Ovis aries: one gene and its partners. The protein of the gene in region 3 interacts with the protein of the main gene of each other region in a pairwise test. Links are inferred from orthologs where the notes say so. Each region holds a gene or a part of one and is shown on either strand. Other genes may lie near its edges.

Region 1 (3,918 bases), on a different chromosome or scaffold from region 3:
TCCTGTTCGGTAGAACCTCGGATCAGCCTCAACTTCCTGGGGGACCCAGGTGGGGCTTCCTTCCAACTCTGAGGAGGGACCAGACACAGAATGATTGCCAGAGGGAGGGTCCCCTCCGTGTTGCCTCCCTGTTCCTCCACCATCCCATTTCCCTTGAATGGGACTCACAGGCCTAAATGAGAGAGGCCTTCTGACTGTTTGCTGCACTGGAAGGCATGAAATAGAATAGTTTTTTTTTTTTTTTCCACAGGGCTTGTCTCTCAATGTGGTGCATTGTTGGGCAGGTTTGGACCTGGTTCCAGGGAATGAGAGGGCTGGAGGTGGGGCGTGGAAGGCAAGTTCTTTTTGAAGCCCCATTTCCTCATCAGGCTTAGTTCTCTCCCTTGCCATGGGACCAGGCTCCTGCCAGCCACTCTTCAATATGTGGAGCTGGGAGGTTTCTGGTGCAGTTTGAATCAAACAAGGAAGGGACACTTGAGGTTGAGGGGCAAACCCTACGGAAGAGCCAAGAAAGACTGTGGTATTAATCATTTATTATTATATACACATTCAGACGGGTTTAACATCAACCACCATGCTTTCCAACCACTCCCAGCCATGTGCGTGTGGGCATGCACGCACATACACACACACACACACACCTCTTAGGAAGCAGGTTTCCCTGTCTGCTCCTCTTCCCACAGGAGAGAGATGACTGGGCACTTTGGAGGTGCAAAGTTACAGGGACCTAAAGGGTTGGAAGAGAGGAGTCAGCCACTCTGGGCTGGAGCAGCTGTAACTGACTTGGCTGAGGCTAAAGGGCCTAGGAAGGCCAGTCATGGAGGGTCCTGAACCCAGGTCCCCAGAAGGGTTTTCACCAAACAGGAAAGTCCTATTTGATGTGATGCCCAGCCTTTACCTAAGACATAGGCAATGTTTCCAGTCTCTTGGAGGCCCTCTGCTTAGACAGCCAGCACAGAAAAGGTCAGAGTTTCGGCTGTGCTCTGCCAGCTGCCTCAAGCAGGAGGCTGCAGAGTGGGCAGCAGAGTCCAGTCTTTGTGGACCCTGGTGGCAGCAGAGGCTACTAAGGAAGGAACCATGCCTCTGCCCCTGGTCCCATGTCCTCAGCATTCTTAAGGAACATGGCTGTCCACCTCTTTCCCTGAAAGACTGTTTAAGTCCCTCCCACATAATTGTCCCAGGCTCCTAAGATGAAGGGAGCACCCCACACTCTGATTGGATGGCACCCCTGTCGGGGCAGTAGGTGGGTTCATCCCACCCAGGAACGAAGGGGGTGGGGCAGCTCAGCCCCGGGAGCGGGGCCTGTAGTCTGAGGCTGAGCGGGCATGGTCAGGGTAGTCCAGGCGGCTCTCGGAGGCAGTGAGCATGCGTTCAGGCTCCACCACGAACATGTAGTAGAAGTTCCACATCAGCATGGACAGCAGAGGCAGGAACGTCAGGCCGTAGCCAAAGCCTCGGAAGGAGCGGCCCACAGCGAAGGTCAGCCAGTATATGAGCCTGGGAGGCAAGAAAAGGTCGAGCTTTCCTTGAGGGGAGTGCATCAGCTAACAGGTTGATGATAGGGAGAGTGGGAAGTGAGGGAGGCAGATGGGGGTTGGCTGGCACAACTGATACCTCTAAAAACAACCAGTGTTCACGCACTGACGTATGTGCCGGGCACGGTACTAATTACTTTAGGGGCACTATTTAATTTAGACCTCACATCTCTATGAAGCGTGCATATTATTCACCTGCCTCTTTGTATACTTCTCAAATTCGAATTAAAAAGTTTTGAGTAGGCAATATACATTTACACGGTTCAGAATTCAAAGGCACCAGTGAATGTAGTAAAACGTTTTCCTCCACTGATTCCCAGATACTCTGTTCTCTTCTTCACCTCCTCACCTCTATTCTACTCCCACCCCAGACATCATCCATTATTATGGCTTCTCGTATGTCGTGAAGCTTTCTGTGTATATAAGCAAGAAAACTTATGTTTTCCTCCCCTGCCTCTTTTTTTTTTTTTTTTTTTTGAGGTTTGGGAGCATACTATTCCATGGGATCGCAGAGTCAGACATGACTGAGCGACTGAACTGAGCATACTATAGAGACTATTCTGCACATTGACTTTTTCCCCCCATTTAATGCATCTTGGAGATTATGTCATTGTGTGTGTGTGTGTGTGTGTGTGTGTGTGCGCTCAGTTGCTCAGTTGTGTCCGACTCCTTGAGACTCCATGGGCTGTAGCCCACCAGGCTCCTCTGTCCATGGAACTTTCCAGGCAAGAATACTGGAGTGGGTTGCCATTTCCTCCTCCAGGGGATCTCCCCGACCCAGGGATTGAACCCACATCTCCTGCATCTCCCACACTGGCAGGTGGATTCTTTGCCACTGACCCACCTGAGAAGCAATTGTGTCGTATCAGTGTATAAAGAGCTTCATTATTTCGCAGCTACAGTACATTCCATTGTGTTTATTTCCCTTTTTGTAGATGGAGAAACTAAGATTCCAAAAGATTAAGACGGGTCCAACGTCACATATGGGGAAACAGTAAAATCATGATTTGAACCCATGCCTGTTCATCAGCCTCTCTCCTGCCATTTTACAGGGGCTGAGGGAAAGAAGAGAGTAAGGAAGCCAGCTTCAAGAGAGCTTGAGGACCAGAGGGATGAATCAGGCGCAACTAAATTTCCCCTTTTGGAAGATCCATCCAAATATACACACCCCTCAGTGGGAGGAGGGCAGCAGTTTCCTCTTAACTTACAAAGGACCATCTATGACAGAATTGAGATGCCCCTATATTTTTACCTTTGTAATAAAGGGAAGAGTACATGCTGCCAGTAACTTGCCCATAAAGAAGGACCCTGGGTGAGAGAGGGAAGGGACTTGGGTTCTAGTCCTGCCTCTGCTGACAGACCTATGCAACTCTTCTCACCGAGTCTGTAGTTACTTCCTCTCATAGTCATTTTTTCTCTGTAAAATGGGTAAGATGGCCCAGACAACCGCTGGTCCTTTAGCTCCCTGATGATTCTTACTGCTTAAACCAAAGTAAACCAACTTCTTGTCTGAGATCAGCGTTCCCTGAGAAGGAGATGGGAGGTTGAGTTACATGAACAGGAACGTATTAATCTTGGAAAACATCCACGGGAAGAACACGCACGGCTGTATGACGGTCAGGAGACTGGCGGGACAGATGACCATTAGACTACACTTAGAAGTGACAGGAAGACAGATTTCAGCTTAATAGGAAGAATGCTTTAGCAGTTAAAGCCACCTGGAATCCTATATGGAAAATAACAGGGCTTCCCTAGTGGTCCAGTGGTTTGAGGATCCACCTGCCAGTGCAGGGACGCAGGTTCGACCCCTGCTCCAGGATGCTGAAGCATGGTCCTACATGCTGTGGGACCCCTAAGCCCCCGTGCCACAACTACTGAGCCCGTGCCCTAGAGCCTGCGAGCCCCAGTCACTGAGCCCACACGCTGCAACTACTGAAGCTCGCGTGCTTTGAGCCTGTGCTCCGAAACAAACCCACACGCTGCAGCTAGAGAGTAGCCCCCCCTTGCTGCAACTAGAGAAAGCCCTCGCTCAGAAACAAAGACCCAGCTCAGCCATAAATAAATAAATATGATAAATGTATTAGGGGGAAAAAATGGAAAGATCTGCATTTCTGAAAGACTTCAGAAATTCAAGGGTACCTTTCTGGGTTAACATAGTTTACATGAAAATAACCCTGCTGCTGCTGCTGCTAAGTCGCTTCAGTCGTGTCCGACTCTGTGCGACCCCATAGATGGCAGCCCACCTAAGGATCTTCAAATTCTAAATGAAAGGAGAGTAATGAGGCTGCTATGAGACCTGCTGCTGCTAAGTCGCTTCAGTCGTGTCCGACTGTGCGACCCCATAGATGGCAGCCCACCAGGCTCCCCCATCCCTGGGATTCTC
Region 2 (3,518 bases), on a different chromosome or scaffold from region 3:
TTCTGTTAAATCTGTAAGTTCCTCATCATTTGTACGTGATTTGGAAACGCAGCCAATACAGCAGCCTGTGTGTTTTAATTCTAGAATGGACGCTATAGAAAGCCTCATTTGTTACTACCATGCCCACTTTTTGAAGGCTCTTTACAGGGAAGTAAATCTTATCAAGTGATTTACAGATTGAGTTAAGCTCTCCTCCTGATAATCTGATACAGAAAGGCAAAAAGAAAGCTAAAAACTAGAGAGAGATCTTTCTATGCAGAGTACTGGACATTTTTATCTTAGGAAATATACCACACAATTCCACAAACAAAATGATTTCCTGTATGATGTGATAACATACCTACTGTAATTTATGATGCTTCCTTTACTCGCTTACTAAATTAGTAGTAACAGGTAAAGTCAAAGAGGGAGGCTGGGGCCAGGGATTAGTAAACCAAGTACGAGTTTGGATTTTATTCTAAGTATGTTAGAAAACCATTAGAATCAAACAGGGAAATAGCATTATTTGCATTAAGAGGAAAAGGATCTTGGCTGCTATGTGATAAATTAGGCAACAGTAACAGAAAAAGTGAAAAGGTTTGGATTAGAGTGGTGACAATGATGATGAACACCTCACATGAATTAAATTCTTTTAAGTCTCCTAAAAGCCACTTGAAATAGGTGCTACTGTCTTCATCTTGCAGATGAACATGCCAAGGCAGAGAGAGATTAAATAACTGGCCAAAGGGCATACTACTAATTAGAGAAGATATTAGGATTCAGACCTAAAAAATCTGGTGGAAATGCTGAGCTCTTAATTATGGACACTATCCAGCTATGGTCGTAAGATGAAGAGAAGAGGCTGAAGTGAGAAAATGTTCTAGAGTCACGGTGACCACGACTTGCTAATGGATTGGATGCAGAGATGATGGAGACAGAGAAAAAACCATTCATAGGTTTCGCTTGAGCAACTAGGTGATTTAGTAGTATCAGTATGCAACAGAGACAAGATAAAAAACAGGAGGGAAAGGAGTCCTAGGACCCAGCTCTGGAGTAACTACATTTAAAAGCTCAACAGACAAAGACAAACCAGCAAGAAAGACCAAGGAAGGACTTTCAGTGCCTAAGAGGGAAACAGGGAGCGTCATGAAAGCCAACAACTCAAGTGTTTCAAGGAGGATGGAGGAGGCAATGTGTAGAATACTGCTGACAGATTGTGGACAATGAGGACAGAGAAGGACCGTGAGATTTTTGCAGAATGAAGGTTACCCGTAAAGCTGAAAAGAGCAGCATCTTGCTAAGTTAACTCTCATCATCACATTTACCTTGTTTTACTGTCTGTCCCATGTCTAGACTGTAAGCTGCTGGGCATTGACTGTGAGCTTTATTCTAGACCCTTATCTTCTAATTACAGCGCTTGGAGTAGAATGGAAACTACATTAGCGTTATGCAATGTAAGGTACATGCAAAATTAATTCAAAGGGTTTTTGGGTATGATGATTAAGAAGATTTCAAAAGGACGATGACAGGCCTCCTTCTATTTTGCTGCCTCATCACTCACGTACCGTCAGAGATCCGTTCTGTGTGCTGGGTGAGTTGCTGCTCTGCTCCCCGTGGGCTTGCGTGCTTCCGTACAGTGTCAGGTTATGCTCACTGGTCTGGCCGGCATAGTCCTGAGTGTGTGGCACTCCATACTCTGTGGGAATTCCATTCTGTGGAGGTGGTGGAAACGGGATGGTAGTAAAAGGCTGAACCATTGCGTCAGGAGTTGTTGTTGGCTCCTGGTTACCCTGGAACAGAGAAAGAGAAGATAAGACTAACAAAAAAAGTTGACTAGTTACCAAAGGACCAAAGATTTTCCTTTAAACCAAACTTTTTTAAATGCAAGGAAATTTGTTACAGAAGATAAGTTATAAGATTTGAAATTTGTTTGAGCCATTACTGTTTTCGTTAGTACACTCTATTCCTTTAGTGATTCTTAGGGGAAAACAAATTAATTTCACTAAATTATAATTCTTTGTAATTTATTTGTAATTTGTTGTAAACTCCAATACTTTGGCCACCTGATGCAAAGAACTGACTCATTTGAAAAGACCCTGATGCTGTGAAAAGACTGAAAGCAAGAGGAGAAGGGGACGACAGAGGATGAAATGGTTGGATGGCATCACCGACTTAATGGACATGAGGTTGAGCAAGCTCTGGGAGTTGGTGATGGACAGGGAAGCCTGGTGTGCTGCAGTCTATGGGGTCGCAAAGAGTTGGACATGACTGAGTGACTGAACTGAAATTACAATTCATAGCAACAGGTAGAATGACAGTATAAATTAAATTCTCAAAACCAGATGATATATACCTCTAGATTTTAAGAACACAGAGTTCAGGAGAAAGTACATTTTTGACAAAATTAATCTTTGAATTTCAAGGTAGAGATTTAGTTAAGTCTTGGCCACTAGGTTAATTAAAAAAAAAAAACAAAAAAACAAAACCTTTCCTTAAATTAGAAACTAGACAAAAAAATTTCCTAGACGAAAACCCTGAGTTTTTCATAATTACTGCTAGCATTTCAAGGCTAGCAGGTACTTCTCGACACGGCGTCCATTCCCAGATGCTTACCTGGGATCTCCTGTGCTATCTCAAATATCACTACAGAACATACAGTAACAGCGGGAGCCCGTTAGAAGCCATGTTGACTCCATAGCCCCTGTCTTGTTTCTGTTCAGTCTTTAAGTTCAGATACAAACAAGGAGTTAAATCTTGTGTAAGAGATTTTGTAAAATCCTCCCTCTCAACAACTTACCTTCTGACCTCCCATTTTAGTCCATAAAAGGCAGAGTCATTATTTTACTAAAAACAAACACATTTTCAAAGTCTGGGGCCACTATCCTTTCGGAAATAGCTGAAAGAGATGGTCAAATGCTTCAAAGTGGTAGCACTTTGATAAACCCTCTCCCCCATATTTTAGACATCATATCATTAGGGATCAAAGAAAATCTGGGTTTCAGTCACTTGGATTCCTCCTAGTCATGAGCATCATTTCCTTCCAAACAACATAGTAATTATTCCTCTTTCTTTCTCAGTTATGGTTATCCTTCTTTTCCCTCAATTTAAGAAGGGATTCTCTACCCACTGAGAGCTACAGGAAACTAAACTTCCAGCTGCTGCTGCTGCTGCTGCGTCACTTCAGTTGTGTCCGACTGTGCAACCCCACAGACGGCAGCCCACCAGGCTCCCCCATCCCTGGGATTCTCCAGGCAAGAACACTGGAGTGGGTTGCTATGTCCTTCTCCAATGCATGCAAGTGAAAAGTGAAAGTGAAGTCACTCAGTTGTGTCCGATTCTTAGCAACCCCACGGACTGCAGCCTACCAGGCTCCTCCACCCACGGGATTTTCCAGGCAAGAGTACTGGAGTGGGATGCCATTGCCTTCTCCGAACTTCCAGCAGCACTAACACCATTCCAGGTTTTTAGCATTAATTTGCTGGCCATTAAACTCATACTATTGCAACAAAATGAATCCAAAACTGGAGAAAGATCTCACA
Region 3 (3,518 bases):
AGAGCAGGCCCCAGGTGTGATGAGATCACTTGTGTTAGAGGAGGAGATACTCTCTATGGAAGTATGGTTCCTTGAGGAAACTCACCCACCCTCACTTCCCTAATCTCTTTATTCAAACTCTCTCTGGGAAACTTGTTTATTAGGACACCCAAAGTTAATGTGCTTCCCTGGTGGCTCAGAGGTTAAAGCATCTGCCTGCAATGCGGGAGACCCGGGTTCGGTCCCTGGGTCGGGAAGATCCCCTGGAGAAGGAAATGGCAACCCACTCCAGTATTCTTGCCCGGAGAATCCTATGGAGGGAGGAGCCTGGTGGGCTACAGTCCATGGGGTCACAAAGAGTCTGACACAACTGAGTCAAACTAGTCCTAGTGAAGTTAACATAGTAGGATTAAATTAATCTCTTTTTGGCTTAATGTTATGCCCGATTTGTGTAGTTAAGCTGTGACTCTTACAGATAGAACCTATATATGTTTTCTTCATATGTTTTGGCATTTTCCAAGCTGTGAATCTTTGACTTGTACACATCCTATTTATAATTTATAATTTATTGTGTACCCAACCCAAGATTTCTGCAACCTACCGAGAGCAACAGACAGCAACTAAACTGTCTTGAACGACAGCCCCATCTAGTGACTAACACTGTAAGTTGTCCACCCCTGTGTTTTTCTAATCCCATCTTTTCTTATCCCTTAACTAAGACACAAACACCTAAGCCTCCCCATTCCCTGCTGCTCAAATATTCCATTCTGCCTCAACTGTTCCTTACATGTCTATTACCTTTAGCTTCCTTTACTTTCCCCCATTACTTCCACCTCCTTCTTAAGCTCAAGAACCGTTTACCTGACTCTTCTGGATCCAAAAAAGTCTGTTGAGGGGACTCACCTCTTTCCATACTCACTCACCTTTTCGTTCCCTGATGAGGACAATTCGTCGTTCTTTCGCTTCTGAGTTCAGATTGTCTACCATCTTACTAATGCAATTGTCCAGAACCAGGGAGCGGGTTTTGGACTTGATGTCCTTCCGACAAATGGGGCATTCTACTTTCCTCTTCATCCACTCATTGATACAGTAGGAGCAGAAACTATGGGCACAGTTCAAGGTGACAGCCTATAACGGAAATATGAACACACACATCAGAACTGTGACGCTCACTGCCCCAGGGCCGCTGTGATCTCAGAGTTAGGAAAGCAGTTAGTTCTCAAGACGAAATAGAAATTAAACCATAACTTCATCTAGAGGCCTTACAAAGGGTATCAGAATCATTCCTAGGAACTGTAAATTTTAAGTTTCATGTTAGATTATTTGTTTTCTCTCTCAAAGTTAAGCTCATAAACTCAGGCTCCAGGTAGGCTGATTTGTCTTATTTTGTTCCACCAACTCAATTCACACTGCCAACGTGGCTTAGCTATCCCGCAAATAAATGCCACTGGACTTAAGCAGGACTAGAAAACATGCGCATGTCTGATACACATGCATCACTAATTCTCTCAGGAGAAACAGCTGTATGTCCTAATGGTACAGTAAAACCTCGATTTTAACTCACACAGTGAATACTCAGTACACAGAATGTTAGGAGGCCCTTATCTCTACTCAAAAGAAGCTTTAAAAAGTATACGTAAAAGCACTTAGGCTAGGGAAAAAGAATCTAAAAACAAAATAGGAAAAAATGTAATGGGTTCAGCTGACAGTGCCTTAAGTAATATCAATAAGCCTATGAGAAGAGAGAAAGCAGAAAAGGGCCCGTATCTGAGGTGCTCCTGAGCAACCCCAATGGTCAGCTTTCTGCCAAGGTCCTTATCACTTTTCAAAACATAAACCATACTCTTCGTTTCTCTTGTTTCTCTTGTATCTCCTAAGATACAACTTTTTCTGGAGCTAAAAAGTTTTCTTTCTTGCTTTTGGGAAAGCAGGGGGAAATAACACAAACTTTGTATTATTTTCCAAATGCCAAGTGGAAGCCAGAAGGCCAACTAGGAAACATTCTCAGTAAAGAATGAGACATACTAAAAAAAGAAAAAGTAAAAATAAAGAATGAGACAAAATTCTCATAAACAGGACTAAAAACCTGCTGACTAAAATGAAATCTCTAACCCAACACTGATTTTAAAAGAGGACCAGCAGGGAAGGTCAGCACATGCTGTAAACCAAACAAAGATCAGGTTATTTGTCTCTTACATGTTGTGCAGACGCTCCATGTTGGCTAACTCATCACTTATTCCGACCCCTTTCCTTGTCGTCTTCTATTACGGTGCATAAGTCATGTCGAAACAGTACTAACTGAGTTTCTCCAAAGTAGGGAATCAAATGACTACAAACTATGGGGGAAATTATGATCTGAAGTCAAAGCAGATCCAAAGCAAAAGAAACAGGTCTATCCAGGACAGATTTTTCAGGAGGCTAATAGACCCAATCTCCCTAAAGGCCACCAGAAAAAAAGGAAGCTGTGTGTGTATGCGTTTTCTTTTTAAATGAGTCTGAAAAGCACTATCATTTAACAACTTTAGTCTAACACTTGTTGTGTAAGATGAACTGGACACAAGTGGTAGAATTTGCGAAAATAAGAGAGTTTATGCAAAAAGAAGACAGGATAACAAATGAAATCCTAGGCGTGATGTTTCATTTTCATAAGGAGCCTCCGAGTCCCTGAAAAATGCTCCATTTGGCCACTGAATCCCGTGAGCATACCTCAATGACATTTACCCCCTTGTTCAAAGGCTGCACTGCACGCCCACTCTCAGCACTGTGTCCATTCAGAGCAAAGAAAGACTAGCTTTATTGAGTAGCTTTATTCTGATACTTCAAATTTCTAATGCCATCTAATTCTGGATTCTGCCAGAATCAAATGGATCCCAGGAGTTAAAAAAAAAAAAAAAACCTTCAGGAGCTCAACACTAGGCAAAAAAAAAAACCCCGCAAAACCCACAAAACCCAACAGCTCATAGTTGTCGGCAATGTAGGAAACATATGACATTCTGACCTGTGGGAGGGTGGGGCAGCCCCTAGATGGTTCTTCAAAACCAAAGTGTTTTTCCCTCAACAACAAAAAGATAAAGGCTTTATTATAGCCCCAAACACTGATTCTGCCAAAAAAAGAACTCAAGAACAAATGAAGTAAGAAAAAAGCCAGCGGAGGCAAGTGAGAAGTGGCCACCTCCAGCAGCCACTTTGAAGTCAAATAGCTACAGTAAGTTCCTGGAGGAAAAATCTCTTCAGAATGTTACCCTAGAGCAAAAGCAGTCTGTGTAGCTGAGGCTCCATTCAGGGGTAGGAGAGTGAGAAGGCGTGAGCCACTACTCATCATTACCTCAACGAAGTATTCTGAGCAAATAATACACTGGAGCTCATTCTCTAGCACGTCATTCATGTGGCTAAGAACTTCCTCCTTCTGTGCTTGCACCTTCTCCTTCTCTTCCTGCAAAGACATACAACCCCACCTGTCATTCGGGAGAACTAACAAGAATGCAAAATAGGACAGAGCAGGATTAATAGTATGCAGGAGGATTCAGAAAGAATCTAAA

Evidence for each region. The genes of interacting proteins can lie anywhere in the genome.
Region 1: the proteins of RNF8 (region 3) and TMEM79 interact in binary tests that used the Homo sapiens proteins (3 or more experiments, as listed by UniProt). The two-hybrid records come from large-scale screens. The link is inferred for Ovis aries from reciprocal best matches to the Homo sapiens genes RNF8 and TMEM79.
Region 2: the proteins of RNF8 (region 3) and RBFOX2 interact in binary tests that used the Homo sapiens proteins (3 or more experiments, as listed by UniProt). The two-hybrid records come from large-scale screens. The link is inferred for Ovis aries from reciprocal best matches to the Homo sapiens genes RNF8 and RBFOX2.

Annotation. Positions count from the first base shown.
Region 1 is NC_056054.1:106,292,460-106,296,377, reverse strand, and holds the end of TMEM79 (transmembrane protein 79), read right to left. Parts: intron 2,431-3,918; exon of another isoform or gene 1,498-2,430; coding exon 1,284-1,497; 3' UTR 514-1,283; downstream 1-513.
Region 2 is NC_056056.1:179,577,523-179,581,040, forward strand, and holds part of RBFOX2 (RNA binding protein fox-1 homolog 2), read right to left. Parts: intron 1,770-3,518; coding exon 1,545-1,769; intron 1-1,544. UniProt on the Homo sapiens protein: RNA-binding protein that regulates alternative splicing events by binding to 5'-UGCAUGU-3' elements. Prevents binding of U2AF2 to the 3'-splice site.
Region 3 is NC_056073.1:11,332,333-11,335,850, reverse strand, and holds part of RNF8 (E3 ubiquitin-protein ligase RNF8), read right to left. Parts: intron 3,413-3,518; coding exon 3,305-3,412; intron 1,108-3,304; coding exon 903-1,107; intron 1-902. UniProt on the Homo sapiens protein: E3 ubiquitin-protein ligase that plays a key role in DNA damage signaling via 2 distinct roles: by mediating the 'Lys-63'-linked ubiquitination of histones H2A and H2AX and promoting the recruitment of DNA repair proteins at double-strand breaks (DSBs) sites, and by catalyzing 'Lys-48'-linked ubiquitination to remove target proteins from DNA damage sites.